4 linked regions of the Drosophila melanogaster genome follow. The protein of the gene in region 1 interacts with the protein of each later gene in a pairwise test. Each region holds a gene or a part of one and is shown in the gene's direction. Other genes may lie near its edges. The genes, in order: hth, abd-A, Cpr100A and dsx.

Region 1 (8,253 bases):
TCTTCGGGTCAGTTAAAGTAGGCTGAATAATGACTGGAGAAAAATTAAATAAAGCTCGCAGGACCTTTGCTGCACAGAACAAAACAGGATATACGTTTTATAGATCAATCAAACACATTTTAAATGCCTCGGATTTTAATCTTTGTTGTGCATATTTCTAAATTCAAATAACTTACAGTAATAAAAATTTTAGGAATATTCTTGTTTCTTTCTGTGTAGAGGGTGTGAGTCGCAATAGATCAGGTAGATTTATGAACAAGTGTCCTAAGCCTTTTATGGGCCTTCTCAAGCGTTGAAAGTCACAAAAAAATTAGTAGGCAAAAGGAAGATTCATGGAAGATCAAGTAACTGCCAAAACAGGTAACTATGCAGGTAAACTGGTAAATTCCGTGTTAAAAATACAGCTCCTTTTGACAGGACCTCTGATTTTATATGAATTGTATAATTTTTGGCTTAGGATAAATGAATTGTAGGCGGTAATCGGAATCAAAATTCGCGCGCTTCTTAACAGAAATCAGTTTTTTATGTATTAAATTAAAAAATATCGGTGCAAAAAACTAAAAATATAACAATAAAACCTGAATAAATAAATATATGCAATAACATAAGTATACAGACTAAAGGAACAGTCAAACAATATTAAAACGATTACATCCTACAAATTATATGAATAAATCACGATTTGAACGACTATATACCTTATAAATAAAAACAGTGAACATACAACTCTAAATACTGAAGATCCTTAAACTCCAATGACTCTCAAATCATGTTACATGCCTAGTCTTGCAATGGCTGCACAACTGTGAAACAGCTGTAAAACGCGTTGCCATAAAACACTTAGGGCCTCTCGCTCCAACGCAACTGCAACGCATGCCATCTCGCTCGGCGCTCTCTCCCGCGCTGTTCGGCGAATTCAGACAAAAACAAACCATTAAAAGCGCGGCGAAAAGAGCGCGTGCACTTGTCTGTCAAGATTATGGCGGTTTCAGTCACTTTGTTGCTGTTTCTGTGTGTTCGATGTTTTTTTTTCGTATTTCGCAGCGACGGCGAAGAAGAAGAAGAGCGCCGACGGCAACTCCTATTTTTCTTCATGTGCCATTTTTTTGTTTTTGGCTTTCTGTTTCGGTTCTTGCTTGAGTGAGTGAGCGGGAGCAAGCGAGATGGCGCCACATCAAGTTGATATCGTGTCGTCGTCTTCATCTTTTGCTGTCGCTCGTCGTTTGCGTTTGATAAATTGCGTTTATAAGAAAGAGATGAATTGTCATGCACACAACACACACTTCTCTGCCGGCGTCGACGGCGACGCCGACTGCACTGCCGGCGTTAACATCACTGTAGGTGTTCGCAAGTGTGTGCCTGTGTGTGTGCGTGCGTGAGTGTTTAAATCATATTGGCTGGCCCCCCAATTGGTGTGAGTGCACGTGTATGGGTAAGCTTTCCCTCTCTGCCCTCTCTTTCGCTCGTCTGGGATTGGAAGTTTCCAAATGCAATTTTCCTTGAGGTTTTCCCGAGTCGGTTCCTTTTCGGCTTTCTTCTTTCATTTTTTTTTCGCTCACTGGGTGGAGGCCCAGCCCCCTAAATTCGCTTCCTGCCCCTCCTTTTGTACACCCCCCCCCCCACCGTTCGCTCTTCTCGCTTCTTGATTATTTTCCTTTTTCGGTGATTTAAATTTCATGGTCCCTTCAATTTGGCAAAGTTCTAAATATTAAATTAAATTCCTGCTTCATTTGCAAAAATTCTTGAGCTTTTCTGGAGCTGTCCGCTTTATTTGCATTCTTCGAAATTTAAGTTATCTGTTCTTATTAAATTTCATCTGAAAACATTTTTTCACTCAGTATTATTCTACGAACTAAGTATATTCTATTCCTCAATTAGCGCTTCTCAGAAAACCTCGAGTTTTCTTAAACAAATAAACTTCATTTGTCTAACATTTCGTTGGGATCCTTGAACTTTGCTACCGCGTCGATCGATCTATTCGAATTTAACTTGGTCACCGATAAGTCTGAAAAGTTCCCACACTTAAGCGTTTCACTAATTTATTGCACTTAATTGATTCGATTTTATGTGATTTTTGTTTCACATAAATTACTTGGCTTTTGGCCCGAGCAGACGCACAAAAGTTGGACGTCTGAAAAAGCCAAAAGAAAGCGAGTCCCGAAACGAAAAAAGGGAAAAAGCAACCGCAAATCAATCAAAGTCTCATAAATTTGTCAAAGTGTTGACAAGACGCAGAAACAGAGCACCTATATCATACATAGTTCCCAAGATTTTGGGGGTTTGGGATTTCGGGATGAAATGGCAACCAGATTAAGTGCAACATCATCTTTTTGACCAGCGAAAACAGACACGGGAAATCCTTTTGGCGAGCGTCGGAAAACAAACAAGGCTATTTTTCATTTTCCTAAAAACGCCGGCCAAATCGCCCCGTCTCTCTCGCTCGCCAGTATCCCCGTCTCTTTCGGCGTAATGGCAACTGCAGCGCCAAGCCAAAAATACGCTGGTGAAAAATGGCCTGGGAATATGTGTTAACTGCTTTTTAAACTGCCACGAGGACGACGACACGACAGTAACAATAACAGCAACAATAGACAGGATTTCGGACTGAATACGAAGATTGGCATACCTTGTTACCCTGTAGTTATTGGTAAAACAAATTGGACTAATTTATTTTAGTTTAAAATGTAAAAAAAAATTTGTACAATCACGCCGAAGATATCACAATTGACTGAAAATTGCCCAAACATACTTGTCATCAAAAAACTTGTTCAAATAATGCAAAAGCCCGTTTCCTCAATTTTTTATTTTTGGTTTGAGATGTAACACCATTTGTACAGGGTATATAAAAAACCAAATGAGAGTAGATTCGCCAAACAGGAGCGCAGAATGACCTGCAAAATATGCAATTTTCAGCGAATGTTTTTGACAATTTATCGCCGTTCCATTTGTTGTTGTTCCCCAAGAAGTAAGAAAGAGAGAGAGAGGAGAAACTCGAACAGCTGTTTGTTGTTGTCAGGATCGCATATCCTTCCAAAGTGGCCAGATCACCGTTACAAGCCAAAAGGACGCAATAAAGGAACTGCAGCGAAAAGTTTGTTTTTGTCGTCCACGTTTCTTCTTCTTCTCCTTCAAGTTTCTTCTCTTTTTTGCCGCTTTTCTTCGAAGGCGTTGCCTATTCGGGCAAAAGTGTGTGTGTGCGAGTGTGTGTGGGGGCGCCAAAAGAGAGCGAAAAGTGAGCGAAAGCTGAAGCTGATGGACAACTGAAGCTTTCTCGCTGCCTTTCAACCTGTAAAGGTGCGGCGAAAAAGAGCCAAGCTGCCAACTGCCACTCACTCAAGCGAAAATAACAAATGGGATTGGTTTTTGCTGATTTTCGACGCCGACGCCGGCAGAGGGGCGAAAAACCCATAAGCCGTCTCCTTTTGGCCAAAGCCAAATAAATTTCAAACGCGGCGAACATTGCGCAAAAAGAGGCGAAAACTGAGAAAGAGAAAGAGATAGAACACCGCTGTACGGTACTGTATATGCATGTGAATGACAAGTGTGTGTATGACAGAAGAGGCGTACCAACAAATCAGTCATCGTCGCCCAGGATGCGAGCGCGCCTGCGCAGGCAATTCGCCGGAGCGTTCGCATAAACCATATATTCCTCTCGCTTGCACTCGCTGAGTTATGGCCAAGAGCGAGTTAATGGCACAATTGTTGCATCTGAACAGAGCGGGGCAGCTGCATGATTGACAATCATGCCGCACCGCTTGCACCCGTTGACTTTGCTGTTGTTTGTCGCTCAGCGCTCTCTTCGCTGTTAGTTAACAGCGATGTTAGGAGTGGAAACACGTCCGACTGTAGCGTAAATTCAAACGTATCTGGCGGGTTGGTTTTTCGATGAAATATCTTTCATCCGCACAGTGTATTTTTGACTGCGAAGCGCGTACGACGTGTGTCTGTGTTGCGTTGCGTTCGAATAAAAAAGAGAAGAAAAGCGAAAAAGTGTTGCCGTCGGTGAAGTTTATTATTATTATGATTATTATTATTGCCCGTTAACCACGCGTTTTGCCATCAATCAACAAATAAACAACACAAGAAACACTTTGGAAATCGCGCGCGTTTTTCCATCGCGCGAACAAAACAATCACGTTTTTTAGTGTGTTTTTCAATCACAATCGAAAAGTTCTCCTTTTCACAATTGAAGGCCAAAATAAATACTGTTATTTGAGGGCCGCGGAGGGAATTTCTTTCAACGAGGGGATCCCGCCGATCCCCCCGCAAAAACAAAGAAACACGCAAATTGCCGTCGCAAAAACACAACAGAATATATTGCATTATATATTAACAATATAATTTGTTCATCTCTAGTAACGTAGTATGTAGAAGCAGCTGTGATAAATAGTGCGCATATTATACGAAAAAAGCAAAAAGAGTATACGACAAACAAATAAAAATTAAAAGCAACCACAACTACTACTATAAAAATAACCAAGGAAAAGGCAAGGAAACTCGCAAAACGAGAGAGAGAGGAAAAGGGAAAAAACGCCATGGATTTATGACAACAACAAATGCAACCCAGTAACAAATGATGTTGCAGCAACTACTACAATACACGAGTATACCAAGAACATCAACAACAACAACTGCAACGGCAACCAACAACAAATTGTATACGATTTTTATAAACCAAACAAATGCTATGTAAATAATTATTATAACAAACACACAAGTAAAAAAAACATTCAAAACCAGATCTCCCGCTCTAGAAAACAAACAACAAACGCGCGCGTAACAAAAACGACAACATCAACAATACAACAAGTATACAAACGTAATAATAATACATAAAATCTAAACAAATGTGCCTGTGTTAAAAAAAAAGAAAGCAAAATCAAGAAGCAAAGCGTTCAAAAAGCAAAGGCTTCCCAATACATGAAAAAAGTGCAAAACATATATAAAAATCCAAGAAAATAACATCCAAAACTGAAGAACTGGAAAAGCCAAGAGTAAATCTAAGGACTCCACACGGGCAGCTACAGTAGAGCTTCCCTAAAACCGAAGCAGTTGCAGCGGCGGAGCGGGACGTCGGTCAGTGTGTTGCGCCCCCATTTGTTGTTCCTACTGTAAAAAGTGGCACAAATCGGGTTAGACGTCGCTCCCAGAGCATTAATGGCTCAGCCCAGGGTAAGTAGATCCACCAAAGTTCACTTTCTAAATATATAGAATCCATATAGAATGGTCCCCCGAGAGTGTTGTTATCCTTAAACAAGTTCCGACGGCTAAAAAACAAATGGGGTTCAGTCAATTTGTAATCAAGTCAAGTGGTGCCGACGGCACTTACAGGTTGTAGTTTATGATGATATTGTAACAGTTTTCATATCATGGATATGTTACCAGTGTAACCAAATCAATCTATAACCAGAATACGCAAAAAGTTTTAAAAATCTTCAGATATTAGTTAATCCAACTTCATGAAGTAGATCTATATAAATATTTCTTATACATGGCCTCCAAGCTTCTCCAATTTAACCCATTACAATCAATTCAATGGGGAATAGTTCTTGTTTATTAGAGCCCTATCAAAATGAATTTTAACTAAGCGTTTCTGAGTGTGTGTGTGTGTGTGTGCTTATGTGTATTGGAATAGGACAGAAATCACATTTGATTTATGCGGGTCATTTTCTGGTACAAGTTTATATAATTAACTGAGTCTGCAGCTAGACCATTTTATTTGGGAAGTGATGGAAATCAAAGATCGCCGAAATAGTGATAGATATTGTATTACATTAAACAACGGTTTACTCTAGAAAATCATTAAATAATGTTTATTGAAAATTGTTAGCTTTTCCCCTTAACTTTTCATTTTCACACCGCAATAGTTGATTCGATTTTTGTTTAAACATGGCTGGGACCTTCACCTCCGAAAAGCCCCCCCGTTGCATAGCCACAATGATTCCACCATTTTCCATCACGTTTATAAGGCATAAATTCTCGCCTCGCTTTTTAAACGGAGTAATAATTTTTACAATCCATCTGGATCGTAAATTATATGCTAATCAGGTGACCGGCAGTCTCCGCTCGCCCGCTCTTCAAAAAAATATTATTACCAAATCGCAGTTAGACTTTATCAATTGATTATCATGGACATGCGAAGTGAACTTGATTTTTATTTAACGGAGCAAAAAGACCTCAAACATGGCCGTTTGCCTGTGTGTGTGCTACCAATTAGCGTGTGTGTGTGTGTGTGTGTTACCAAAAGGTGGGCCATGCTCTTTGGGAGCATTAAAAAAATCAGAAAGAAATATAAAAAATAAAAATGGATATGGAAATGGAAATGGAGATGGGAAAAAAGAAATGCCCGCGGGAATTTTGTGTGTGTCTGCGTTACTGGCGAATAAATTTACGCCTGTGGTTTAATACCCGATTCTGTGCCGAATTTACCTCTTTGAATCCCCTTTTTCGTAATTCTCCTGCGGCTCTTTACCCGAATCGCGCCATTTCAATTCCATCAAATGAATTTTTCGACTCGGGGCGAGAGATATATGTATGTATGTACGAGTATGTGAATATATACGGGTGTTCTGTCTGTTTGTGTGCATTTGATGCATATAATTTTATTGCACATTTTGCACATTGCCAGCGGCCCAAAAGCGATCCATTCAGTTTATGCCGCTTCGTGGTTTTATTATTTACAATTTTATTTTTACCATTTTCCATGACTTTGCGCTGCTATAATTTGCGAAAAATGGCGGGAAGCAATTTTCGCGGGTTCTTCTCAAACCAAACTGCACATGCATTTTTATATATATTTAATTTGATTATTTTATGCCATCGAAACGGAGAGCAAACGAGAGAAACAGTGAGAAAGAGCGGCCGTGTAAAATGTGCAAAAAAAAAAAATGTGCAATTGCAATTTGTATAAAAATGTGCATTGCAGCTGCTGCCATTCTCCCCCGCGCCCCCTCACTTTTCCCACCATTTTTCAGTTCGTGTGCCATTTCAAACGCCTGCGAAATGCAGCACAAAAATTGTTTTGGTGTTATTTTAATTTAAAGGTTAACCGCAGCGTAATTTGTGGCATAAAATATAATTCGTCTATCGTGTGCTCGCCTCTCCCACTGTGTTTGTTCAGCTATTTTTTGTATTTCTCGTTCGCTTTAGAAATAAAATCAAAATCAAAATAGAAAAGATCAAGGAGAGCGGAGCAGCGGAAAATGCCACAGTCGATTCTGTGGTTTACTTTAGTGGCCAGCAGCATTTGCAAAAGTTGATGGAAACATTCGGAATTCGACTTAGGTGGCAAACTAAAACATTTTTTTTGTTGAGCCAGGAAAAAAATTCTAGTTATATATGTATATATTATCAGTATATAACAATGGTCCGCTGAAATGTGTACTTTCAAATATACCAACTGCTGAACTCATTCCATTAATAACAATAAATTGAATTTGAAATTCCCTATGTTACAAAATAACATTCGTCAGCAAAGTATAGTAATATTTTTTCCCGCCTAGTCCTTATCATATTGCAATAGTTTAATCTTTGCCAGCGACCAACCTTCGTCGCGAATTCTTTTCTAATTAAGTGAGCAATTCTCCAGTCTTCCCAGCCTCACCGCATGACTCATGGGCTCCCCACTTACCCCCTTTGCCACGACCCCCCGTTTATCAGGAGATTTCAGATATATCTTGGCTTTCGGTTGAGAATCCGCTCGGCAGACGCTTCACATGCCAGCGAAAATTGAGCGAATAGGAAGCGTCAGGCTGAGAGGAATATTTATAAACAAATTACATATGCATATTTCTGCAAGGGGTGCGCAGGGGGAGGGGGTCATAAGACTCTATATGGGGCCTCCACTTCTCCCACTTTCCACCGATGTTGTTTTTCGTGTGCTAAAGAGCTTCATGTTTAATGATCAAATTGCGTGCCTGATTCTTGGGTCGGTGCCTGCTGGTGCTATATAGTTGTTGCCTTTGTTGTTATAGCCTATAGAGTAGTATTATTATTTTACTTATTTTTTCCCGGCCTCTCTGGCTTACTACAGCACACACATAGTTGCCAAGTTTGACGAGGTCGCTGGCTGCCGTTGAAAGTGTTTTCATTAGTTTCATTTCTTTTTGCATTTACGCTTAAAAGTTTTTTAAATATCGCTGCCCGTTTTTCGTTTGCCGTAATTTCCCCAAACATTAAGTCAAAGTGTTTTGCTAATATTCATCGAATAAAGTGGAATTACTATTTTTGCTGGTGGTGAACTCTTTTCTCCAT
Region 2 (8,266 bases), 6.2 Mb from region 1:
ACCTGGGCAGCAGTACACTTGAAAAATAATAACCCTTCTCTTTTAAAATATTGGACGGCTAGACATAATATTCAATTACAAATACATCACAGCAATAAACCATTTTTCGGGCTTCTATAACAAGTTGAATTAACCTAAAGAACTTTTTAATTTATTTAAAAACCATTTTGAATTTATTTAGTTAAATTTAGTTACTTAAAATGTTCCATCATGTATAAATTAGTAATATGTCATAAAAATAGTTTAATTCAATACTATTTCGTTACAATAATACGAATTTTGCATCATCAAAGGTTATACAAAATAAAATTACCAGTTATATTTTCAGTGCATGAGTAAATCCACTCATTCGCACTCGCTGTATGACCCATAAGCAGAAACCAAAGTGTGGCAAAATGCTTAATTTAGAATTTATGAGCAATTAATTTTAAAGCGCTCTCTGGCCATTAACGCCGTTACTGCTTCTCCCCCTTGACCGTAATACACCTTTGGTCATTAAAGAATTAAGAAGCCAGTGTGCCAAAAATTGATTGTTTAGCCAATCCGCTGATGGATCAATTATTCAATTGTTATAGCCAAAGAGTTGGCAATCCAATTTGAGCACGAGTCGTATTCCAACAAATAGACAGGTAGGAAGCACATTAACTGGTAGATTTATGAATAAGAAATAATTTAAATAAATTTGTTATGCTTTAGAAATTGTTTATTAAGGTTAATTTATGAGTGTTAAATGGCTAAAAATTATTTAATTGAAGGATAAGAAAATGTTGTGATGTGGTATGATTTAAATAAAAAATACAAAAATAAATATAGAAAAACTATAACATTGTTTCTACTGATTTTTTTAACATAACTATATTTAGAAAGAACGTTCGCTTCATAAATGAAACCTGATGTCCTAATTTCACTTATCAAGTCTAGCCTATGCTAAAAAATTTTTTATTTGAATCCTAACTTTATAATTACATTCCTTACCTAATGACCAACAAAAAATGTATTGGAATATTTGGTAAGACTTAAAAAATTGAATTCCACTCACAATGCCTCTTTTCGTTTTTTAACTCTCTGTGTAAAATCCTTCGAAATGTCAGATAGCAAAGTTCTCTAAGTAGAAAAGTTAAGAAATTGCAGATTCACTTTATTTCCGCACACATTTGCGCTACGAAGGAGGATGAGAGCAATAGTAGAAGAGGCATGAGTAAAATGCTTGTGTGTTGTCCAATTTCAACCATAAATTTGAAATTTTTCATAAAAATGTCATAACAGCAATTCCAGTGACAACAGAAAAGAGAGAAAATAAAGGCGCACAAAAGGCGGTGGCCGAAAAAAGAAGAGGCAGTGCTGTCTTTTTGCCGAGTCGGCATTTTTATCTGTAGAAATTTAAGGGTTTTTTTTTTTGAAACACCACAAGAGGGTGATTCCACAAAAAAAGTCAAATATAAATTTTGTCTAATTTGTATTGAAACACGCTCACTCAAAGGCAGCGCACTCAAAATGAATAATGCACGGTAATTTAATCAACAATAACATTTTGCCAAACAAAGCATAAAACACTTAAAAAGCATAGCACTCAAAGCGGGGCTCCAATAGTTTCCATTCTCACGTTATAAAGAGTGAAATTAGGAGAGGCACTCAAATCGGGAAATTACTCACTCAAAGCAGCGAGGCGGCCATCATGCGAGAGAGCGGGAAAGAGAGAGAGAACAGCGGCGGTGCTCGGCCTGAGTGCCTGCGAGCAAAAGCGGGACAGACATATGAACTGGCTGCGCTGCCATCTTTCTTATTGCCGCCGCTGCTGCAGTCGACGTTGAGTCAGGGAGTGAGCCAAAATGAATTGTCACAAACTCAGCATCCAGTTGCCCATAAGAACGCTCGCATGGCTTTTGTATTGCGCCATAAACGTTTCGCTGCTCGTAACGCCACAACGCTCGACGTTTCGCAGCGGCTTTGCTTTCGCTTCTCTTCTCGCGCGTAAAGCGGTCTCCCCAAAAAAAAAAAAATAGAAAACAAAAAATATAAAGGAAAACCCCCTCCGTAGACAGACAAAACTCAAAGTCTCCAACGACTCAAAGCGCCTCAGTCGCTGCCGCTCTGCCGCCGTTTCTGTCGACGCCGCTGCCCGCGCTGGCAGCAAGAATTACCAATTACACGAAATTTTTATACTCTTTTAAAAATTTCGTTTTATTATAATATTTATTATCGTGGCGCGCAGTAGTGTCTGCGGAACTCAGCTCTCCACTCTTTGGAATTTCGGCCCTCCGATTCCGATTCGGATTATACGATTATACGACTATACGACTGTAGTGCGGCAATACGATTCAGTTTCCGATTCGCCGTGTTTATTGTTCCGTTTCGGCCGCCGGCTTATTGTCACTTAAATGTTATAGATCGCGTAAAATATAATAAAATTGTGTGTGAAATTTAAAACCGAAAAAACTGTCAAAACACTATGGTTTATAACTCACTGTGTGCGGTTCGTAAAAATTAAAAAGACATAAAGTTGACATCGTAAAAAGGTTCTCGCCTCTCCGTTCCAGACTTCGATAGTTCTACCTGCAAAGTGTTTTATGACATTTTAAACAAAGTAATTAAAGCAAAACGTTGGGAGAAAGCATTTCTCCGGCCACACACACACTCACGCACTTGAGAAGTCGTTAAAAGCCGCAGGAAACTCACTCTGCCATAAAAATACAAGAGTGCCATTAAAAAAGATCGCGCGCCTATAAATCACACGTACGAAATCCCGCCGGCACGACGTCCATTCGAATTTCCGCGTAATTGATGACCGCATTTTAATTGCTTTTACAACAAATAAAAGATACACACACCCCAAACACACACATGCGACACACACACTTGTGCCACAGCTGCAAATACAACGCAACCCGAGACCATATGCAAATTTAACAAATTTCGTTGTGAATTCGCCAGCTTCGAGCGAAAAAAGTAACAGAAACAGAAAAGCTGCAAATACAAGCTGCTCGCCAAAAGTTCGCTAGAGAAAACTTGAGAAAGGTAACAAAATGCATTTCACTTCTCGGAATCGAGAAAAGTAGCTTAAAGTCGGGCAGCTGGCAAAGTTTCCGAATTCTGTCTCACTAACTCTATCTAAAAAGTACTAACTGTTGGCCATCTCATATAGTACTGTAAAAGTAACCCACATACTAACTCGTTGGCACTGGCAGGGAAATCTAGCTGAAAAATATATAAAGCATTTGGATTATATATTTTTTTCACTTGAGTTCTGTATCATGCTACCCGAAAGATTTATGTTCAATCCAAACATATTCAATTTGGTTAATGTTCTTTTTATGGTTTCCGAGTAATTTTTATAAACATGTTATATTTTTTGTTTTGCCATTTTTAATTCTTGTTTATCACATTGGACGCCAAGTTTATTTTTGTTTTTAGTACCTTTTAATTCGATTAATTTTGTTAGTGATTTATATACTAAGTCCAATGTAGTTTGCATTCGATTATGAAGTAGAAAAGTTAAATACAGAGACGGGAGATGTTCATTAAAGACAAGTAAATTTTAATAGACATTGATACAAATTAAATTGCTGTGTAAATCTTATGAAAAAGTTAAAGAAAAAGATATTTTTAAAATGCTATTTCTCACAGTGTTGAATTATAAAGTCATTCAAGTTTAAGATTTAGGTTGTGCTTACAGAAGTAGTCGGAACTTTTGTTTTATTATGGCTAGAAAGCGCTCCTCTCCACGCTGAATTCAAACAAAATTTGTTAAAGTCACACAAAGAGGAAACTTTAAATTATAAAACGAAATACTCAATCTAGCCATTAACCAAACGACTCAGATAAAGAACCCAAATCATTCGAACTCAGAAATCTCCGAAACTAAAATAGAACAACAAGTGGACTAAACGAAATTCCGAAGATCCGATCCTCGGCCAGAGAGCAAAATATGTGCAATGTCAAAATTTGTTTTCGATAGTATGCTGCCAAAGTATCCACAGTTCCAGCCGTTTATCAGTTCGCACCACTTAACCACCACCCCCCCGAATTCGTCATCTGCAGCAGTTGCCGCCGCCCTAGCCGCCGCCGCCGCCTCTGCATCCGCCAGCGTTTCAGCCAGCAGCAGCAGCAACAACAACAGCAGCAACACGATCGCTGGAAGCAACACAAGCAACACCAACAATAGCAGCAGCAGTCCAAGCAGCAGCAGCAACAACAACAGTAATCTCAATTTGAGCGGAGGATCCCTATCGCCGAGCCATTTGAGCCAACATCTGGGCCAATCGCCCCACTCACCCGTCTCCTCATCGTCGCCCTTCCAGCAGCACCACCCACAGGTGCAGCAGCAACACCTGAACCACCAGCAGCAGCAACATCTGCACCACCAGCAGCAGCAACACCACCACCAATACTCCTCGCTCTCGGCCGCTCTTCAGCTACAGCAGCAACAACACCACATTAGCAAACTAGCCGCCGCCGCAGTTGCCTCGCACGGACACGCCCACCAGCAACTGTTGCTAACGCCCCCGTCAGCGGGCAATTCTCAAGCGGGCGACAGCAGCTGCTCCCCATCGCCCTCGGCATCCGGTAGCTCCTCGCTACACCGCAGCCTCAACGACAACTCTCCCGGGTCCGCATCCGCGTCCGCCTCCGCATCCGCGGCCAGTTCCGTCGCTGCTGCTGCAGCCGCCGCCGCCGCTGCGGCTAGCTCCTCGTTTGCCATCCCCACCAGCAAGATGTATCCGTACGTGTCTAACCACCCTAGCAGCCATGGAGGGCTCTCCGGAATGGCCGGCTTCACCGGACTGGAGGATAAGTCGTGCAGGTAAGATAGATTGCCCTGTTTAAGTATGGGATAATGCAGATTTTTATAAATCGGGATGGGTTTTATGTCCAATCGTAGTAAAATGATCTTAAATGACCCTAATAGGAAGTGCAAATATAAAGTCAATGACAAATGATCTATACTATCTAATATGATATTCAAATATTTGGAGTGCATTGATAGAACTTCTCAGACAGTATCATATTTTAAAATATATGCAAATTTAGTATGACCATTAGCTTTACCTGGCTTCAAAACCTTTAAGAAGATGTTTCCGGGGTTGAAAATACAAAAAAAAAGAAACACTCAGCTCTTCCAAGAACTAATTTCGCGTGCTCTCAATTTGGCGAGCGGAAATGCCAGTCGAGACCTTCAGTAAAATCTGCAAACACTGCAAAACCGCAAATCCGTTTCGAATGCGCTCTAATTATCGGGTCTCGGATCCTGGGACTCTGTCCATTTTCCTCTCGGCCACCGGCCATTCATATTGAATGGCCATAAAGTCGGAAAATTAGAGCAGCCTGTGGTGGCCGCTGGCAATTTGTCGCCGGCCACAAGATTCGCACGCACGCTGACCTTCCGCTGCGGCCATTTGCATATTAGTACTACTGTATGGGCACTCCATGTGCATGTACAGTGAACCCTGCTGTGCGTGGGCGTGTTCGGGATTAGTGTGCAATTAGAGCTAACCGCAGTTTGGTGAAAGGGGCATGCAAATGGCCACCTCATTAGCATTTGACTTTAGTACGGGCGCTGGAGTTGGGAACGTACTATGAGAGCAGGGATCACCAACAATAATGGCTACTTTCTCTCTCCCACACCCACAGCAGGTACACGGACACTGTCATGAACAGCTACCAGTCGATGAGCGTACCTGCCTCGGCATCTGCACAGTTCGCTCAGTTCTATCAACATGCCACAGCCGCCGCATCCGCGGTATCCGCGGCCAGTGCCGGCGCGATCGGCGTGGACTCGCTGGGAAATGCCTGCACACAGCCCGCCTCCGGCGTGATGCCAGGGGCAGGGGGAGCGGGCGGAGCCGGTATCGCCGATCTGCCCAGGTATCCCTGGATGACGCTTACAGGTGAGTCAAAACTCGATACTCGATAGTGCGGAGATATATTATACATAAGTAAAAAAATAACTGCCAGATTCGGACTCTTTGTGAAAGACTTCGGATCTGAATGTGAGTGCCAAATTTGATAAATCTTGAAAGTTATCCGATTTTTAGAATTGAGAATCACACATATCCCAATACAAGTTTATCACACTGAGCCAATCAATCAGTCTTTTAAATTAAGAGTCTGTCTATCGTATCTACTGTGTTCTATATATCATGCCAATCATTATAAAATCAGAAATAATCCGTGCACTTCAGGGAATGTATATCGTCTTAAATCAAGAATAAATTGCCTTCAAGATCTACAAAGCGATCTCTTAAAATTTTTTGTGTACATATAAATCATGGCCACTTACACTGAAATCAAAAAATCAAATAAAAAATTGTAAGAACTTATATTGGATTGAATTATTTAGTCGCTATGTTAGGTTAAATACTATAATTAAAAAATTTAAACAGCTAAGTTGTTTAACAACCCGTAGACTTAAACCAGGTTCGAACTGATTTACAAATTGTATGACCTAACAAAAAGCGTCCAGTCGAATTATCGAATTAAATTTCCCAAGTGTAGTATTTGGAATGGTTGCTGCGTACCTTTTATAAACAATAGATAAACGTGGCGCAAACGTTCCCCAATAGCATTCCCATTTGCACCGCCATTTCGCCTACAATTCCAATTCGTAATGAACACTTTGCGGAGCACTTCCAAGTCGTTTATTTCGCATAAGTCTTCCAGGCGATTCGAATCCGTAAACGAAATGAACGAAGAGCTAAAAAGTTGGCAGTAAATAAAAATGAAAATAGTTTGAGAAATGCTTCTCTTGTCTGTCGTGTTATTTGGCGTCGATTTGTAATTTAAATAGCCTCAAGGTTGCCCCACACCGACAAACGTATAGCCCAAAATGCCGACCAAAAAACACTGCGATGTGCCCCGCGCATACAAAATCCACATATCCGTCGAGAGATACAGATACAGATACTTTTTGGCCGCCGCTCTTTTTATGCGGCTAACGTAGTACGGGCGAACTCGCTTCAAATTTATGTGGGTCAGTTTAATTTACGCGATCCGCTCGCTTTTTCCGCGCATTTTGCACAGCAGATTTATTTATCATTTCTCATCAGGCCACTCGATTTCCACGCTGCACAAGAAGAAATTGAACGAATTCAATTTTCCATTCTGCCCCGCGGGTTGAATGCCTCCTGATTAATGGCAGACACCATATGAATAGACTGTCAATTGGCCTGACTTATGGACTGCACATCGGTCGTCGTAATAGAAAAAGATCGCGCGACGGATTTACGCGGAATTTACGGCATAGGCATGTTAATTAAACAGTATAAGTAATTGTTAATTGACGATCTAGCAGACAGAGTTTAAATAATGGCATTAATACGAGATAACAAGGTAGTGTGCTTAAGGGTCCAATGTTTATCAAGTGGTATATTTTGTCAAATCATTAGAACTTAAAATCATCGAGAAAAGAGGTTCAAAAGTTTCTCGGTCTTTTTTTTTTTGCCAGCATAATTTACATATTTGACCAGATTTGGGTGTCAATAAATCGATAACCAGCGCTCCTATTAATCTATGCAGATTAAAAATCCATTCCTCTATTTTAGTGGGTTTCTGGTTCGTCGATACCCCGAAAGATATTAATATGTGGCTAACACACCTATGTATTTGGCCGGCCAGCTAATAGATACACACATTCTGCAGGCAAAACCTGATGGTGAAAAGAAAACCCGAAGCATCGGCCAGTTGGGAAGATAAACGGTATTTCGCACAATGAAATATTTTGCATATCTCCCGCTCACAGCGCCAAGGCGATAAAATTGTCAACGAGATCATAGAGACGCGACTGGCGGCGATGAAAGTAAATACGAGCATGACGCCATTATGGCAGCCAAGTGCGCGACACGTCGACGCAGCCCCCTTTATCCACCACTCCTTAAATGCACATGCTGTACATAAAGCTGTATATACATACGTACGAAGTATATATGCATGTGTTTTGGCACTATATCCATGCACTTGCATGTGGATTGCACAAGAATCGCTTCGCCTCCTTCGGAAAAGTCTTTTCGTTTGGCTTTCACTTTGCCAAGCCTGCGAACCCACCCAAAAAACTCACAGACGAAGACCAAGACCCAGACCCGGACGCACCGGCAACATGAACAACTGCAACAGCAACTGCAACAACCATTGCTGCAACAACGGCAACGTTTTACAGCTGAATGCTTGCCAAATGCAATTTAACTAATGAATTTTAATATTTTACGCCAAAGCGTCTGAATGAATTTTCATTTTCACATCGTTGCACCGACTCCGACAACAACATCAACAATGT
Region 3 (7,465 bases), about 20 Mb from region 1:
ATGTGATAATGTGCGTTGAATCATGAATCATTTTTGCCAATGAATAGATGTCAACATCGGTTTAATTGTCTCATTTGTTAACTGACCTTCTGGCTGCTGTGCACTTGCAGATATGATATTCAAATTAACTCAGATTTTTCTTGGTCTTCGGATAAGTGTTGCTTGGAAGTGGAAAAGTACCCCTTTCCCCCCGAAAAAGTGAGCCGTACGTTCTTGGCCCCACAAGATAAATGATCAGGGTTCAGTGCACCAGATTTTCGACAAGGTCAACAATTTGGGTGGCTGCAAAACAACTTTCGAAAAGTGCAACAACTGCAACTGGGCAGTGGCATGCCACATTTCAAGGACAAGGGCAGAAGGCAATTCACGAATGCCACAGGATGCAGATAACCACTTCTGATGAAGGCCCTAATGATACGATTCACTTTTTTTTATGGTAGAGATTGACAAATTGGAGAACTGGAGAAAATAGCAAATACAAAGGAAATTCCAATTAAAAGGAAAAACTCTTAAGTAAACCATGTTATTTTTATGTTGTCATTTGATCAAATACTGTGTATCTGCTCAATTAAGACGACCATTTGTTAACAGCAGTCGATTAAAATTATTGACACCATGTTTCTAATCCTATTTATTTCTCTCAGTTATGCATTTTCCGCTTCCTTTTCCACCTCACTGGTATTTTGACGTCACTCCTTGTTCGATTTGCATATTCGCACACTGCGCAGACAGCCGAACCCAGTAATCAGGCCCCCGAAATGCGGAAGTCTGCGAATGCATTGCGAAAACCGCTACGCATGCGAAAAACTCGTTTTCCACCGCCCTCTTCGTCATCTTCCCCGCCCCACTAGCAAAGCACGCAATAATCCACGTAAAGTGACCTTGATATTGCCAACGGGCCAATGCGTGTGTGTGCGTGTGGGGAAACTGGTCCAGTGGAGCTGTAAACGCTTCAAGCCATATAAACCACGTTAGTTATGCGACAATTTATGGCTTAAAGTAAAGTTGCTAGGCCGGAGGAAAAGTCAAACGGTAAGCGAAACCGTGGCCAGGAAAAATGGAAACGCGATGTGAAAATTCAGCAGATGCGCAATTAGCGGGCACTTACACGGCAGTTAAGAGTATACGTACATATATCGAGTTACACATTCATAAAGGATGAGTGATTGAAGTCGGATTTGGATAAGCAGTATTTAGGGGTAATACATAGGGAAAATTTTCTAGTTATATGAATATTATAGAAATCATATGCACTGGCAATTAATATTAATTCCTTTCGAGCTCACATAAAAATTTAAAAAAGTTTTGTTATTTTTGAAAAATCCATGTTAACTTTACCTAATCATAGTGCAATATTTATTTCAAGGAATATACGCATTTTTCGCAGTGTACCTAGAGTTGTCTGACTGACTTTTGACGAGTGTGCAGGGTCATCCGTGAATCAGCTATCAAATCACCATCTCCCCATCTCAAACTCCTGGCCTTCTCCTTGCTCGCTCTCTTTTCCACCAGGAATAAATGGATCGAATTTCCCGACGAGTTTGGCGAGTTTGGTTTTGACTTCTGATGGAAATGGAGATGGAGATGTAGATGGTGATGATGGAACCGATAAGCGTTTAGCATTAAATTTTTGTTAACCTTCCGCGCGGAGTTGACTCGCTCGATTTCAGAAAACGCTCGACTGCATCTTGAATTACAAATAATCGCAATTGTCTGAACATATATCGGCCTGCTCGTTTTCGCTTTGTTCGGGTGGTAGTTCCTAGTTTCCTGGTCTGCAGCTCTGACCCAGGCTCCTGGGCTCGGAATAGCAGCTGAAATAATTGAGAGACAACGCGGAATTACGACAGGACGGACGTGGATGAGGATGAGGAAAACGCTCTGCTTTGCATGATGCATCCCCTCCCTGAGGGCTCAACCCTCATTATCTGTTCGCCGATTGTGATTAACTCGGCCAAAGTGAAAGCCTGACAAATAAAACGCTGAATGGGCCCGTCAGCCATCTCTTTCTGACTGCTGGAGATGACGGCGGAATCACAACAGAAATAACAACAAAAATCAACCTCCTGGTGCCACTCCCTCCCTCGAAATTCTGGGTGGCAGTATCGTCGCATCAGGCAAACGCCTCAAAATCGAAATGGAAATCAAAAAGGCAGCAGCAGAGAGGCCAGCGAAGAAGGACGCTTCGGGAGTACAGTGGCCGCTCGAGCATGACGGATTTAGTTACTTAACTAGATGAAATATTTTGAATTAATTAATAATAAAGTTGGAAATATAGATAATGCTATAGGAATAAAGAGAAAAGGATCTTTAAATATTTTAGATATAACTGTAGTTCCATTTCTATAGATATTTTAAGTAGAGGAAATTCTAGAATTTCTAGTTTCCGAGTGATCACTGTAGCTAGACCGTTTCAACCCTCCGATGGGCACACCCTCAAGCTAATCCGGCCATGCTCAACTGCTCGGCCTCACCTTGGATCCGCTGCTCTTGCCATCGCCTCCTTGCCATGGCGTTCGCACATCAAGTATATATTCCGGAACTATATGCCATAGCTGCAGTTTCCTGTTGTTGTTTGTCAACTGATTTAATTTCCTCCTCCTTTTACCGCTTTCTGCTCTGATCACCGCCTCCTGCTGCGAGAGGGCGTTCTCCGCTTTTGGCCACACAAACAAGACCGCCGGATAATGACGATGGTAATGATGATGGCGATGTTCAGACGATGGCGACTTGCAAAAGGGCAAATAACGGTGTAAATGAGAGTGTTGCTACTCGAAATCTTCGACCCCATGCGGCTACTTTGTGTGCAAGAGTGTGCCGCTGTGTGGAAATCGCTCATTAAAATATGAAAACCCGATTTGCATACATAAATGCTCTAATTCTCTTTACGTTCAATTTTAGGGCTTAAGAAAAATTCTTTAAAATTAAAATGAATATCGATATAGATAATGTAATGTTAATTTGACTCTAGATATAAAACTTCAAATAACCAAAGTTGGAGATGCAGACCTGTTTGCATTGTTAGATCATAAATAATGCCAAAAGTTCTCTGCAAACATTACGCAAAGTGGGGGGCGTGGGAGTGGGCGTGTGGCATGTGGGTGGGCGGCCAACTGCTTTGGCCATAAACAAGCCCAAACAATGCCAGACATTTCAAACACAATAAATAATTGAAGCCAGCGCAGAGTCAACAAGTCAAACACATTGCGGTAACACTGGCGATTGTTGCCAAGCGCTTTTGGCCACACCACAAAGTCCAGCTTTTCAGTCCGATCTAGATATAAATCAACTTGGCCATGCACATGCAGAACGCAAATCCAGCTAAAAGGCAAACAAACGGCTTTACAACTTTACAACTTGAAGAGGGGAGTGAAAAGTTAACAACGCTCATTTGGCGAATTTCCCAAGATATGTTCGGATTTTCAGCAGAGGGCGACCGCCCAGTTATCCATCACAATCGACAGTTTCCACGGGCTTTTCACACTGGAAAAATCAAAAAGACAATAAAGACGAGGCTTTTGCCAATTTCTTCCACAGGGTGTTGTAGTTACTTTCTATTTCTGTTTTTTAGCTTAGGCCAACATTATTGGCATACAATACTATTATTCAATCTATTTTATATCCCGTTTTATTTGTATTTTCCATACATTTTCCTTTTTTCCTACTCTTAAACTAAACTATTGCCATTAAAATTGCATCATGCTCTGCAGAACTAATTGGTAATTCCTGGTTTCGATAGATCCCCTCCCAGATGAGGATACCTCTGCGCTGAGGCTGGATTACAGCTGAAAAACTTTTGAAATAATTAAAAAATATTTTCGTCTTGGGCTTGGGCCTGGTGCAGGCAGAAACGGTGGAACTAAGTGCATATAGCATATATTCGTATATATAGAAAGCAAAAGTTGGCGCTCCAAGCGAAAGAGATCGAAACTGGTAAAACGACTTGGCAACACGACCGCGATACCAATACTCGCCCAAAGTTGACTTATTGGAGCACTTAGCTCGATTCTTGTTATTGTTACGCCGACTTGGCCGACTTGTTGTTGCCGTTAACGTTAATAGTACCAACACAATTACATAGCTTGGAGTGCCTAGGCGGAGTCGATCGGCGATCCAGCGATCCAAGGTTCCCGCTCGGACTATAAAAAGCTTGGGCGGCACCGTTGCGGAAGGCAGTTAACTCCACAAATCCGTTGCCGTCGGTCCCATTTCCCTCTTAACCGACTTGTAAGCGTAAAGGCGCGTGTGAATCCCCCTCGAGAAGAAGATAAAATTGTGTGCAGTTTACGCTTGACAAGGATATTCCCCACACCAAAATGTTCAGATTTGTGAGTTGTGTTTTATTCAAGGCTGTTCGAACAATTTAAAAGCTATTAAGAGAAAAGTAATCAAACTGACGGACAAAAGTGTCAATTCAAACCAGGATATTCTAGAGTACACATTAAATAGTGAAAGTCTTACCTTATAATACGTTAAGTGATAATGACTCAGATTAAGGAATTGGCAGCACACAAATACTTGATTGTACAATAAATTTTGAATTCTTGACAGCTTGCACTGACCACCTTGGTGGCCCTGGCTTCCAGCCAGCACTATCACCAGGATCCCAAAACGGCGGCCATCATCAGTGAGCAGCGTTATCTGTCCGGAGATGGAAAGTTCGGAGCTGCCTATGAGCAGGAGGATGGCATCAACTTCAAGGAGGAGACGGATGCGGATGGAACACGTCATGGCAGCTACAGCTATCTGGATCCCACGGGCCAGAGGCGTACTATTTCGTACACAGCTGGCAAAAATGGGTAAGCACTTTCTATAGAACAAATACCCGAACTTGTATTAATTTGGTTTTTATTCCGAAATAGTTTCCAAGCTTCTGGAGATCACTTGCCCCAGGCACCACCTGCTCCACCACAGCCCGTGCCCACAGCGGGATATCAGCCACAGCAGCAGTACCAGCCGCAGCAGTACCAGGCTCCCGCTCCCCAGCCGCAGGCCAGTTTCCGCAGCAATGACTACGGAGATGATGGTTCCTACGATCCCCGCTACAACGATCCCTCTTTCGGACAGAACCAGCAGAGCTACCAGCAGCCCGCTGCCCAGCCGCAGTACCGTCCTGCTCCCCAGCCCGCCTACAACCCACAGCCCGTGCAGCCGCAGCAGCAGTACCAGCCTCAGTATCAGCAGCCCCAACCCCAGTATCAGCAGCCGCAACCCCAGCAGGCGTACTACACCACCACCACCCCCAACCCACACCGCTTTTCGCCACCCGGCAAACTGTCCCTGAACCGCACGCCCGATGGCTTCACCTACTCCTTCAACAAGGTATAAGCCCCACTGTCCTCCACTCAGACATTATGCATCTTCTTCATTAGTAGGGATCCTCTTTCTTCTTTTCCAACTTTCCCTATCACAACTAGAACCCCTACTCTTTTCTTGACTCCATCAAACTCTCGTGTGATATGTTTAAGAGCAATTGTATCGTACTTCCTATATGCGTACTGTTTGTTATTAATTTATAATCCTACACAGAGAAAATTAATCGCTGCTGCCCAATGGGTATTGCTGATTTAAATTACAAAATATATTCAAAATATCATTTGCATATTTTTGAAATATGAAAAAACTCAAGAAATGTCGGCCTTTTTCTCTGTGACTTTCCCATTAAACTTTAATCTTTCCATTTAAGTCTTCCCAAGAAAAGAGAAGTCAATAAACTTCGATGATGTTGAAAAATGATCAAAATTAATTTAGAAACTATGTTAATTTGGGCCTTGGGACGTCTGAGCAATTTGTACTATAATCGAGTAAAAACAATATATGAAGGAAACCAAGTTCGTGTCCTGCAGTCTTTTGTTTTTCGGCCAGTGGCCGCTTATTTAATTTCCAGCAGATTTATCTAAACACCTCGGGTGGTGAACGCCCACTAAATGCGGCATTACACAACCGACTTTCGTACGTGCAAAACAAGTTTCGAGTTTCTGTTACGATTCTATGCGGCCAACAAGGAAAGACCTCAAACGGGTTTCGCTCATTTGACAGTAATCTTGGCCAATTGTGCAAAATTCCGATGAAAATGAAATCAGCCTGGTGTGCTGGTGCTGGCTAAGCCGGAAAACCATGTGCAAGTGGGGGTGGCACTGGTTCATTAGGGGATTGGGGCTCTAAATCAATTCCCAATGGTATTGCGATCCGTCAGGCTCCAGTTGCGTTAGTGCAACTTAATAACATCCAAATGTTTTGCATATTTTATGCACCATCGAACGCAAGAATGCCGCCAGCTAATTTGCTATTTCCTCTCACCTGCTGAGTTCTCAGCATATGTGTGTTATAGTTTACAACTTAATTCGAGCACCGATTGCTATTCTATTATTTAATTGCACTTATACCTATATATTTACTTCGGAAATAATAAATTAATTCAGGGCATGCTGAAATAATTGATTTCATTCAATATCTCTCAAAATCTATTCTAATTTGACTATATTTTATTCATGATTCCATTTTTACTTATTTTTTAAATATTTTTAGTGCTAGCATTTTATTGTTGTCTTTATTTTTAGCATTTTTCCCTCTGTACTTTCCACATCCATTGGTTGGCATTCCTTTTCACCACCGACAACGATTACATTAACAATATTAGCAACACTTTTCAGAGCTTAGCTTTCAAGGTCAGATTTGTTGTGGACTCGAGGGTCCGGCTTGGAGTTTGGATTTTTGCTTTGCCTGGCTTTGGGGTCTGGCTTCTGTTGAAACTGTTTAGTCAATTAAGAAAATCAATTCGGTTTTGTTTTTTGCTACTTATTGCTTTTTATGATTTCTTCTCCGCGTGCCTTTGTGCACCCACTTTTGCGGCAATCGCAATCGATTGAATTGGCTTGCTCAATTGCGGATTTTCGTTCGGATTTGCGAAAGAGGTAAGAGTCGAGAATTTGCCTGGGATCGAAACAGGTGTCTCATGGGTGTGTTGCTTCCAAAGTGTTCTTAATACGTCTATTTTTATGAACAACACACGTTTATGATTGACTGCGTTTATTTTTAAAAAGGTAAACGTCGCCAGAATTTGTCGTGAAATGTGGAACTCACTCCAATTATGGCGATGTGGGTGTGACGAATACAGAATCCAATTAAATTGATGAGTAATTAATATATTTAATTAAAGTGGCGTATTATAAACTTGAAAACATCATTAAATTGAAAGGTTATTTGCAATTGAGTTAAGTGATATAATCTTTTTTTTTTTAAGCAAATAAGCCAGCAACACTCCTTATCGGATTCACTTTGGTGACGAATTCTCCTCATGAAATGGTAGAAAAGCCGGGACACCATACATTTAGCTGAGACAAGAACCGAGACTCTATACTTCTTTCAAAAACCGATAGAGACCGCCACCGTTCTCTTGATAGATACAACAGAAAAGTATATTAAAACACTTTATAAAATATACAACTATTTATGCTTAACTGCT
Region 4 (8,010 bases), 2.6 Mb from region 1:
ACAAATCTTTAAGACCGCAATTTAAAATTTTGAAATGCATTTTAATTGAGATGTTTCGTAAGTTAAAACAATTTACTTACTGCTGTGTATTTAAACAAAATAATTAACTATAACAAGGATAGCTTGAAAACATTATTTGAAAATCCGATTAGGGCTGCACAAGTGCTCTTTTCTGTGGAATTTAACCATCCACTTGTTTAGTTAAGTGTGGTGTAATCAAAATTGTTTTACATGAACTCCGAAAATTTCCCCATTAATCTTGAATAGCAACTTTAACAATTTCACGGAAGCAGTTTTGACTTCGTGTACATATTCACCCGATCCGTTCGGTGGAAATGCAAACTGACAGCGGTTGATATACATTTGCGATCTGGGCGCCAGACTTGTGTACGATTCGCATGCCTAAGCAACTCGACTGGCTACCCAGTTAAACAGGAGAAAAAATTGGCGATATAGTGAGGATTTTTATGGTTGTACGCAAAAATTGTGATATCTCTGGTAAATATGATTTATAAACTAAAATGAAATATTCCTTATTTTTCATTTGAATACAAATTGCTATTACTCTTTTTCAAAAGCATGATTCATTAAAAAATATGGTAATTCAAGGAAAGTTTGGTTATAAAATTCTAAAAATATTCTATGGTAATAACTTCTTCCGCCACTTTCGACCTAAAGTAATACATTCAAAGTAGATGCAATTTTTCTCAGTGTACTTATCTACCCACTACCGCAAACTAAGCCGAAAGACCTCCTTCCGAGTCGCTAACAATGTACAACAACTTGTAGAATGGCCATAACAATTATAAAACACGAACACGAGTCGCTCGCGGGGAATTGCGATTGCAATGGTAGGCAGCGGGGTGAGGTGTCTGCGGAGGCAGACTGCGGTTGGCAACTTGGATTACCTTTATCTGGCTGCCGGGTCATCCGGAGAATTCTGCGCCCAGCACTTGGCAGCATTCCCCGATGTCGTCGCTGTGTCGTGTATCTTTGGTGCGGCTTTCGAGGTGACAACTGCGACAGCTAAACGTCAATTTGTATAAATGTTTGCAATTGCCACCGATGCGTCGGTTGTGGTGAGTGTGGAGTTGTTAAAAATAAAACACACTGAACGCTGATGATCGATGCGGGGGTCGCAAAGGTCCTACAAGGAAAAAAGAGTATCTGTCAGATGCAGAGAGTGGAACTGGGAGCAAGAGAGCAGATCATAAATAAATATTTCCTTAGCAATTTGCATTTTTTCTGACCGCCCGAGTGTTTGTTGTTTGCCGTTCTGCCCCAAGTTTGTTGGCGTTTTTTGAGAGCGCACTCGGCCAAACGAGTTTCGATTCGGATGCGTATCCGCGAGATACTCTTCCCGCGCCGCTCTTTGCTAATTGATTTATGAGATTGCAAATGCAGATGCCCCCAGCCAAGCTCTTTCGACACTCCGCCATAAAAAGGGCTAAAATTTGTGCGATCCAAGGTACAAGAAATGGTGCAAGAAATGCGCCTTTAAAGCTATGTGAATTTTATCGTTCTACAATCGGCACGGGATCAATTGGTGAAGATGTAAATCGGATTTGGATGAAAAATGTATCCCCTTGCCTATGCAATATATACAGTTTCATGCAAATCAATGACAAAGCCTTCCGCTCTCACTTTCGTAAACATTTTTTAAATAATATGTTGTAGTACCCTAGTATGCAATTATATTAAGTTTTCACATTACCTCGATGATATTGATAGTTAATATAATAAGTAAGTAATTTTCTTTAAATTCAATTTTTGTATGAGCAAGTCAAAATAATTACATAAATTCATTAAATTTAAGTCACTTTATCACTTCATTTATTTAAATATTAAATTAATAACTTTTGTCTCTGAAACACTAAACGAGAATCAAAAACGGTTAATTAATGAGTATTATCTTAATGTTTTCTGATCGCTGAGCCATTCATTCCCCTACAATTTGGTCACCAATGGGAAACTACTGAAGTACCGAAGGCCCTTTCGAAATCGATTCACTGCCCAAAAATCGAACTCTCGACCATTTTTGGTTACCTTTTTGGGAGTTGCGTGCATCGCCTGAGGGAAGTATCTTTTAATGGAGCCGAGCTTCGGCAAAATTATCTCCGCCGTACTGTATAAACGATCCTGACTAATATAACGGCTGACGATGAAAGGGGACCTTTCAATGTGATAAATGCGAGTGCGACACACGCAAATCGCTGCGTCTAAAGGTGGCATAAATACGCGGCGCAGGCCGAAACCCAGCTGAGTGGTTCGACCTATATCGTCGGCTAGACGCCCAAACCCGATTCGATGCTCCCCATATCTGGCGCTTCTTCTTCTCGCGCCACGCGGAAAGAGAACGGAAGAGAGAGAGAGAGCGACCAGAGTGCAAATTTACGATCGGCACATGCAGGCGGGAGACGTCAATGTACGGCAACAAAGTTGCTCCACTCGAGCTTCTCGCAGAGATTCGCAAAAAAACACGCGAACTTCAAGAGAGAATCGCTCAGAGAGGAAGAGCACGTCTTCGATGTTTTATGCTCCCCATTAATGGGGCAAATGCACTTTACACTCTCGCAGACCCGTTTCTCTCCGTAACTCTCTGTTGCCCAAGATGCTTTCGTTTGAGTTCTTCACATACCAACGTTGCTTCGAGCTTATGAGTTTGCTAAAAATCGTGGGAACCGATGAAAGAAATGCCCTTCTATCGTATAAATGTTTCTGTTTAAAAACTATTTACTTAGTATTTAAAATAATTGACCGTTTTTCGTATTTCACATATTAAATAGCAACACAGAAGTAATGAATATTTTAAAACATTTTCCGTTCAAATACATAATTTTTTAAAATACATTTTATTTGGCTGATATTAGCGGAAATTAGCCCTTAAAAGTATGCAACGCAGGTAAGGAGAATTAAGTATCCGCAGTGCGGAACCTATATTTTTCGCGGCGAATTTAGCTCATATTACATACGATTTAATAGTTTGCAATACTTTTTTATAGTTCATAGTTCATATTGTAAGAATTGTGTTTAAATTATGTTATTTTTAGCATGGTTTACTTATGGAAAAGAGCATAGTTAAGGGTTTACAATGAAAACGGTCAAATAAGGGTATCCATATCTGGTACCAAACCAATTTGCTTTCTCCCAGTTGATGTGCAGTGCATCCAGCAGTCGAGCAGGTTGGATGCTCGCACTCGTTTCTTTTTTCGCGGTGCAGCAACCAGAGTGCAAATACAAATAGCAAGAGCGTTGCGTCGCCAGTCGGTGGGCCCGTCTCTGTGCCAGAAACACATGCTCAGTTTTAGGTCCGCCCGTCCGCCTGAATGTCCGTGTATCTGTCCGCTGTCTTTTGGTCTGCTAGTCGGACTGGTACTGGTCCGAGTGTTAGTATCGTGCACGGGGAGCTTTAGCTTTGTGGCCGCAACCAGTTTGCTGGCATCGATCGTCCTTTGCAGGTCGTGCATGTCGCGTTGGCGTCTCGCGCCGTCCGCGTTCCGTGCTCGAAATCACAATCTCAAGCTGAAGTGAAAAGAACTGGAGCGGATTCGGTACAAAATTCTGTGCGATAGTTTTTAGTTGCTGTGCGAGGTCCGAAAATATCTCTAAAATGCGTTGACCTACAGGGAACCAGATCGAGCCGCGAGTGCCATGCTAAACAAAGTCGTTTGCGGCTACAGCTTGTACGGTTTAAGATAACAAATAAAAGAAATAAATTTTTACCGGCTTCACACTCTCACTCTCGGTCCACGAAGCACTCCTGACCGTCTCGTACCCAGCCGATCGGACTCCCCGTATCTCATCGAGTTCGCCGAGTGCTAGTGCTATATTCTCTCACTTTGCTTGCATAACCAAGAGCAAAGCACACCTCGCGGAGGCAGATCGCAGATGCAGATACAGATACATATACTGCTAGTGGTCTAGTAGTGGACCTGGAGATACTCTAGCGAGTGCATGCAATTGGCATTGTACCTGGTAAGTGAACGATGAGTTACGAGCGCTCTGCGGCCAAAATGTGCCACCACTCCGCTCCGTTTTGCCACCTTTTTGCCCGGCATTTGGGGGCGTTGCAAACTGCCTTGTAATTGCCTGACATAAATGCTCGTGTGTACAAGGCTTAATGGCGATAGCAGCAGGTACGCTCAGCGATTGCCATCTACAACTGGCGGTATGACTGCTGAATGGGGGGGAGCCAGGGGTTCAGGCTATTGTCTGACTTCCAAATTAAACAGGAAACGAGCAACAGGTCGCGTTTTACAGCCACACTATGAGACTCCCGCATTAGTTTCTAAGATTGGGATAGCGTAGGCCATTGCCATTGTCGTTTGCGATCGGCTATCCTAGATGACTGCATACATATAAGGCAAATTGGACCAAGGTCTAAGTGGTTATGAGGAAAATGCAAATGACAAATACGGAAACCAACTGGCTTAAAACGATAAACACGTGCTGAATATTTTTATTCAAATTAAAGTTGAAGCGAAGGCGTTTCTTGTTAATTTTAAAGCTTACCATCGATTATTCACGAGTGCTGCAATTATAAAAAATATATGTAAATTAGAACTTAAATTTTTGCCAATGCTCATTGTGTATAGCGCGAAAGGACAGTTTACCTTTAATATTTTGTGTTATCTTGGGGATAATTATTCATTTCTTTTGGCTATTATTCTTGTCATTTGTAGTCGAAATAACATAGTTAGCCTTGCTAAGTTAAAACTCATATTTTAGTGGGCGTAAGAGATCATTAGTAGAAACTGCAGCTTGCTTTCACTCACGAAATCTCGACTTTCATGAAGACGGATGACGCAAATGGCAAGATCGAGTACACCTGTCTGTAGTCTTAAAAAAAAAGGTATAAGAACCTAGCATGCCGTTTGACTCCTCAGCAAACATGCAGACTTTTTACTCATAGATTTATATTAAGTAAGTTATTAAACCATATTAGCAAGACGAATATTTTAGTATAATATAAATCTGAGCTTGGTACATTTTCCCAAGAATATATACAAATATAAAATACCTGTAAATGCATTTTTCTTAGTGCACAGTTATAATGATCTGTACTCAACTTTTTAAGCTGCACCCCACTTGCAATTATCATATAATCGACTTAAGGTGCTTTTGCCATTTATAACGCCGAGCTGTCCTTGGCCCATTAATAACCTGAAGTGGGTTCTTATCGTGATCTCTTCCGCTTTAGACAAATTAATTGAGCATACATGCGCAAGCTGCACATTTTTTATGCTCGCCCGTAATCAATTTAATCCGCTTTTCCTTTGGCAACTTTGACCACTGTTTCCCTGCTTATATTTGTCATTATTTCCACCAAACACAAATATTGAAAACTGATAGCCAGCAGGGTCTTTCTCTTAAAGTGGCTCTTCGGAGGAATTATTTCTCTGCGGGTCTCTCAGCTCATACAAATTAGAGGCGACATGCAAGATAAGCAATCTTGTGCAGTTTTTAAACACACAGGCAAAATAACAACATTTTGCCGTGGCCAGCGGGAGGCGGTGGAAGAAGGGGGCGGGTATCTGGTGCTAGCACGAATGTGAGACCCGTTATCAGCACATCGTTCATGCTCAATTTACCCTCCATTTAAATACAGGGTATTAACTCTTTAGACTCCGAAATTAAGTCATTACAGCAAACGAAAATTGAGACAGACAAACGCTCACACTACATGTCACCTAGCTAATAGATTAAAATTCTCATCGATACTGGCTTTCGTCTATGTCACATATATTTCTCCCTATCTTTCGTTCATTAGGTTCTAATCAATCGTCAAACATTTTGAGTGTGAATCTGTGTGCATAGGCAAGTTCAATGAGTCACCATAATGTCAAACTAAGTGCAAATTAGATTAAACACGAATCAAACACGCCAGCAGGTGTGGAGAAAGTGGACAAGAAGTGTAGAAGAATCTTATATTCCCTATCTATATAATATAGAAATATTAACCACATTCTTCCCATGTATACTTTTTACTTATATTACTTATATTATTTGGTTTTTTTATTATTGATATGTAATTGATTGATGTAAAGCTTTTTTTATTTTTGTGCTTTAGAGGGCCATTTATCGATTTACGAGTATCAACATATTTATAGGCTTAACTTATTTAAGCAGGTAACAATATTTTGGTTCTTTAAGTTTGAGTAAACCCATTAAATTAAAAAAAATGTTTTTTAGAATTCCTCTTTTCCATTAATTGTTATTATATTTTAATATCTTTCTAAAATTGTTATATATCATATGTATATATGTATATAATATATTTACGCACATACATAAGTTAAAAGAGTAATAGAAATGCCACGAATTGCACTTTTATTTCCAACCTAGTTAGATAAGAAGTATATACATATACTATATTTCAATGCCATACCTCTAAAACCCATTTCCAATAGCCCACTTGAAACCATTTCCTCGTATGTAGTGGTTATCGACTGACTGACTGTATATAAATGATTGGAGCTCCTTTGTTAGGTAGTTGCACAAGCCTCTAGAAGACCATTATACCGGAGTACCGTCCACAAATATCCACATCACTCACACGCCCTTTAGAACGAAAAACTAAGCAAAACAAATGCAATAAAATTCGCAGCGCAAAGCGGGCAAGCAGAAATGCAAAAAAGCAATTAAGAGGCGGAAGGCGAAACTAAGACTACGTCGAGCGCACTGCAACTCGAACACAAACAAGTTGCAAGGCGACTGCAACCGGCATCACAACACACTCCAACATTCACAAGTGCAGGGAAAGCAGCGACACCAACGAATCGACAACAACAACGCCAGCCAATGTGTGTGAGGCTGCCTATGTACTAGTCCGTCCGTTTGTCTGCGCGAGTGTGTGTGTGTTTGCTGCATGTGCCAGTATGGTGTATGGTGTATTGGTGTGCAGCCCCCACATTTCTCCAAATGCACGCAACGTCGACGCTGCACAGTGGAGCCAAATCATAGGGCTTTATTCACAAATATTGAAGCCTCCTACATATAAAAAGATATTTTCTGAACTTTTACTTATGTTTTCATGTGTTTCACAGTTACAGTCTTGGGAGTTCAGGAGAAAAACTCTTTTCGATCCACGTTAAACTTAAAAGACGACGATTTTTGAAAACTGGTAACATAGAATAAATCCTAAATTCAAGTAATGAATGGTTCCTTTGGTAATTTGAAGAGACCATAATACGATTTGTTACTTCCTTGGTCCCTTGTTAAAGCTATTTTAGACCAATGAATTAAATAAATCCAACTTCAAGAAATCCAACAAATTCAAGAAATAAATAGTTTCTTTTAAAATATGAAGAAAACGTAATACTAAAAAAATAAATAAAATAAATAAAATTGGAAGCCCAGCGTTACTCAAGCATCCGTCCAAACTCGCAGGATTATCAAGGACTTTCGGCCCACTGTGGCTCAGTTTGGTGCGCTGCTCTTGCTCTCTCGATGCGATTTTCGGTTCCGTTTCGTTGGCGGTGCCCGCTTCCACGCAAACACAGGCAAACATCGCACAAACACCAGCCAACTGGCGCACACACACACCATCGCACATCCGCGGGCCGGGCACCAATACTGACGCATTCGCTCGGCGCTTTTGAGTTCTTTGCATCCGCGTCTTGCGGCCCAATGTGAGTTGCCTTGTGCATGCCAAAGATTTCAGATCGGTCAGCAGCAGCAGAAGCAAAAAGCTCGGCTCGCGACTCGCGCGGAACGTTTTTTAGAAGTTGTGCGGATTAAAAGAGCAGATTTGTATTTGATTGGCCCTATGAATATTGATTTTTGCACGTTGCTATCGGTGCTGAATCAGTCGCTTAATTGGACTACAATCGGATTCTTCAGTCGCGCGTTTTACCGGCGGCTTTTGCAAGTCAGTTGAGATCGTGCAACACTTTCTGTGTGATTTTTTGTTTGTTGTGTGACGACTATTAATTGATATTTTGAAACATACAGCTGAAAGTGACTGTATAATTGGAATTGTGGAAAGCAAGTGTTATGTGTGAAATCAAC

What was found.
Region 2: the proteins of hth (region 1) and abd-A interact in a protein complementation assay, tested with the Drosophila melanogaster proteins (one study listed by BioGRID).
Region 3: the proteins of hth (region 1) and Cpr100A interact in a two-hybrid assay, tested with the Drosophila melanogaster proteins (2 studies listed by BioGRID).
Region 4: the proteins of hth (region 1) and dsx interact in a protein complementation assay, tested with the Drosophila melanogaster proteins (one study listed by BioGRID).

The regions. Positions count from the first base shown.
Region 1 is NT_033777.3:10,609,904-10,618,156, reverse strand, and holds the start of hth (homothorax), read left to right. Parts: upstream 1-3,880; 5' UTR 3,881-5,157; coding exon 5,158-5,172; intron 5,173-8,253. UniProt on the Drosophila melanogaster protein: All isoforms are required for patterning of the embryonic cuticle. Acts with exd to delimit the eye field and prevent inappropriate eye development.
Region 2 is NT_033777.3:16,823,670-16,831,935, reverse strand, and holds the start of abd-A (abdominal A), read left to right. Parts: upstream 1-3,830; 5' UTR 3,831-3,932; coding exon 3,933-4,801; intron 4,802-5,628; coding exon 5,629-5,885; intron 5,886-8,266. Other genes in the region: MSAmiP (MSA micropeptide), read left to right, coding at 363-425. UniProt on the Drosophila melanogaster protein: Sequence-specific transcription factor which is part of a developmental regulatory system that provides cells with specific positional identities on the anterior-posterior axis. Required for segmental identity of the second through eighth abdominal segments.
Region 3 is NT_033777.3:30,863,356-30,870,820, forward strand, and holds Cpr100A (cuticular protein 100A), read left to right. Parts: upstream 1-4,165; 5' UTR 4,166-4,316; coding exon 4,317-4,328; intron 4,329-4,551; coding exon 4,552-4,799; intron 4,800-4,862; coding exon 4,863-5,328; 3' UTR 5,329-5,829; downstream 5,830-7,465.
Region 4 is NT_033777.3:7,962,428-7,970,437, reverse strand, and holds the start of dsx (doublesex), read left to right. Parts: upstream 1-3,029; 5' UTR 3,030-3,975; intron 3,976-7,651; exon of another isoform or gene 7,652-8,010. UniProt on the Drosophila melanogaster protein: Controls somatic sexual differentiation. Binds directly and specifically to the FBE (fat body enhancer) of the yolk protein 1 and 2 genes (Yp1 and Yp2).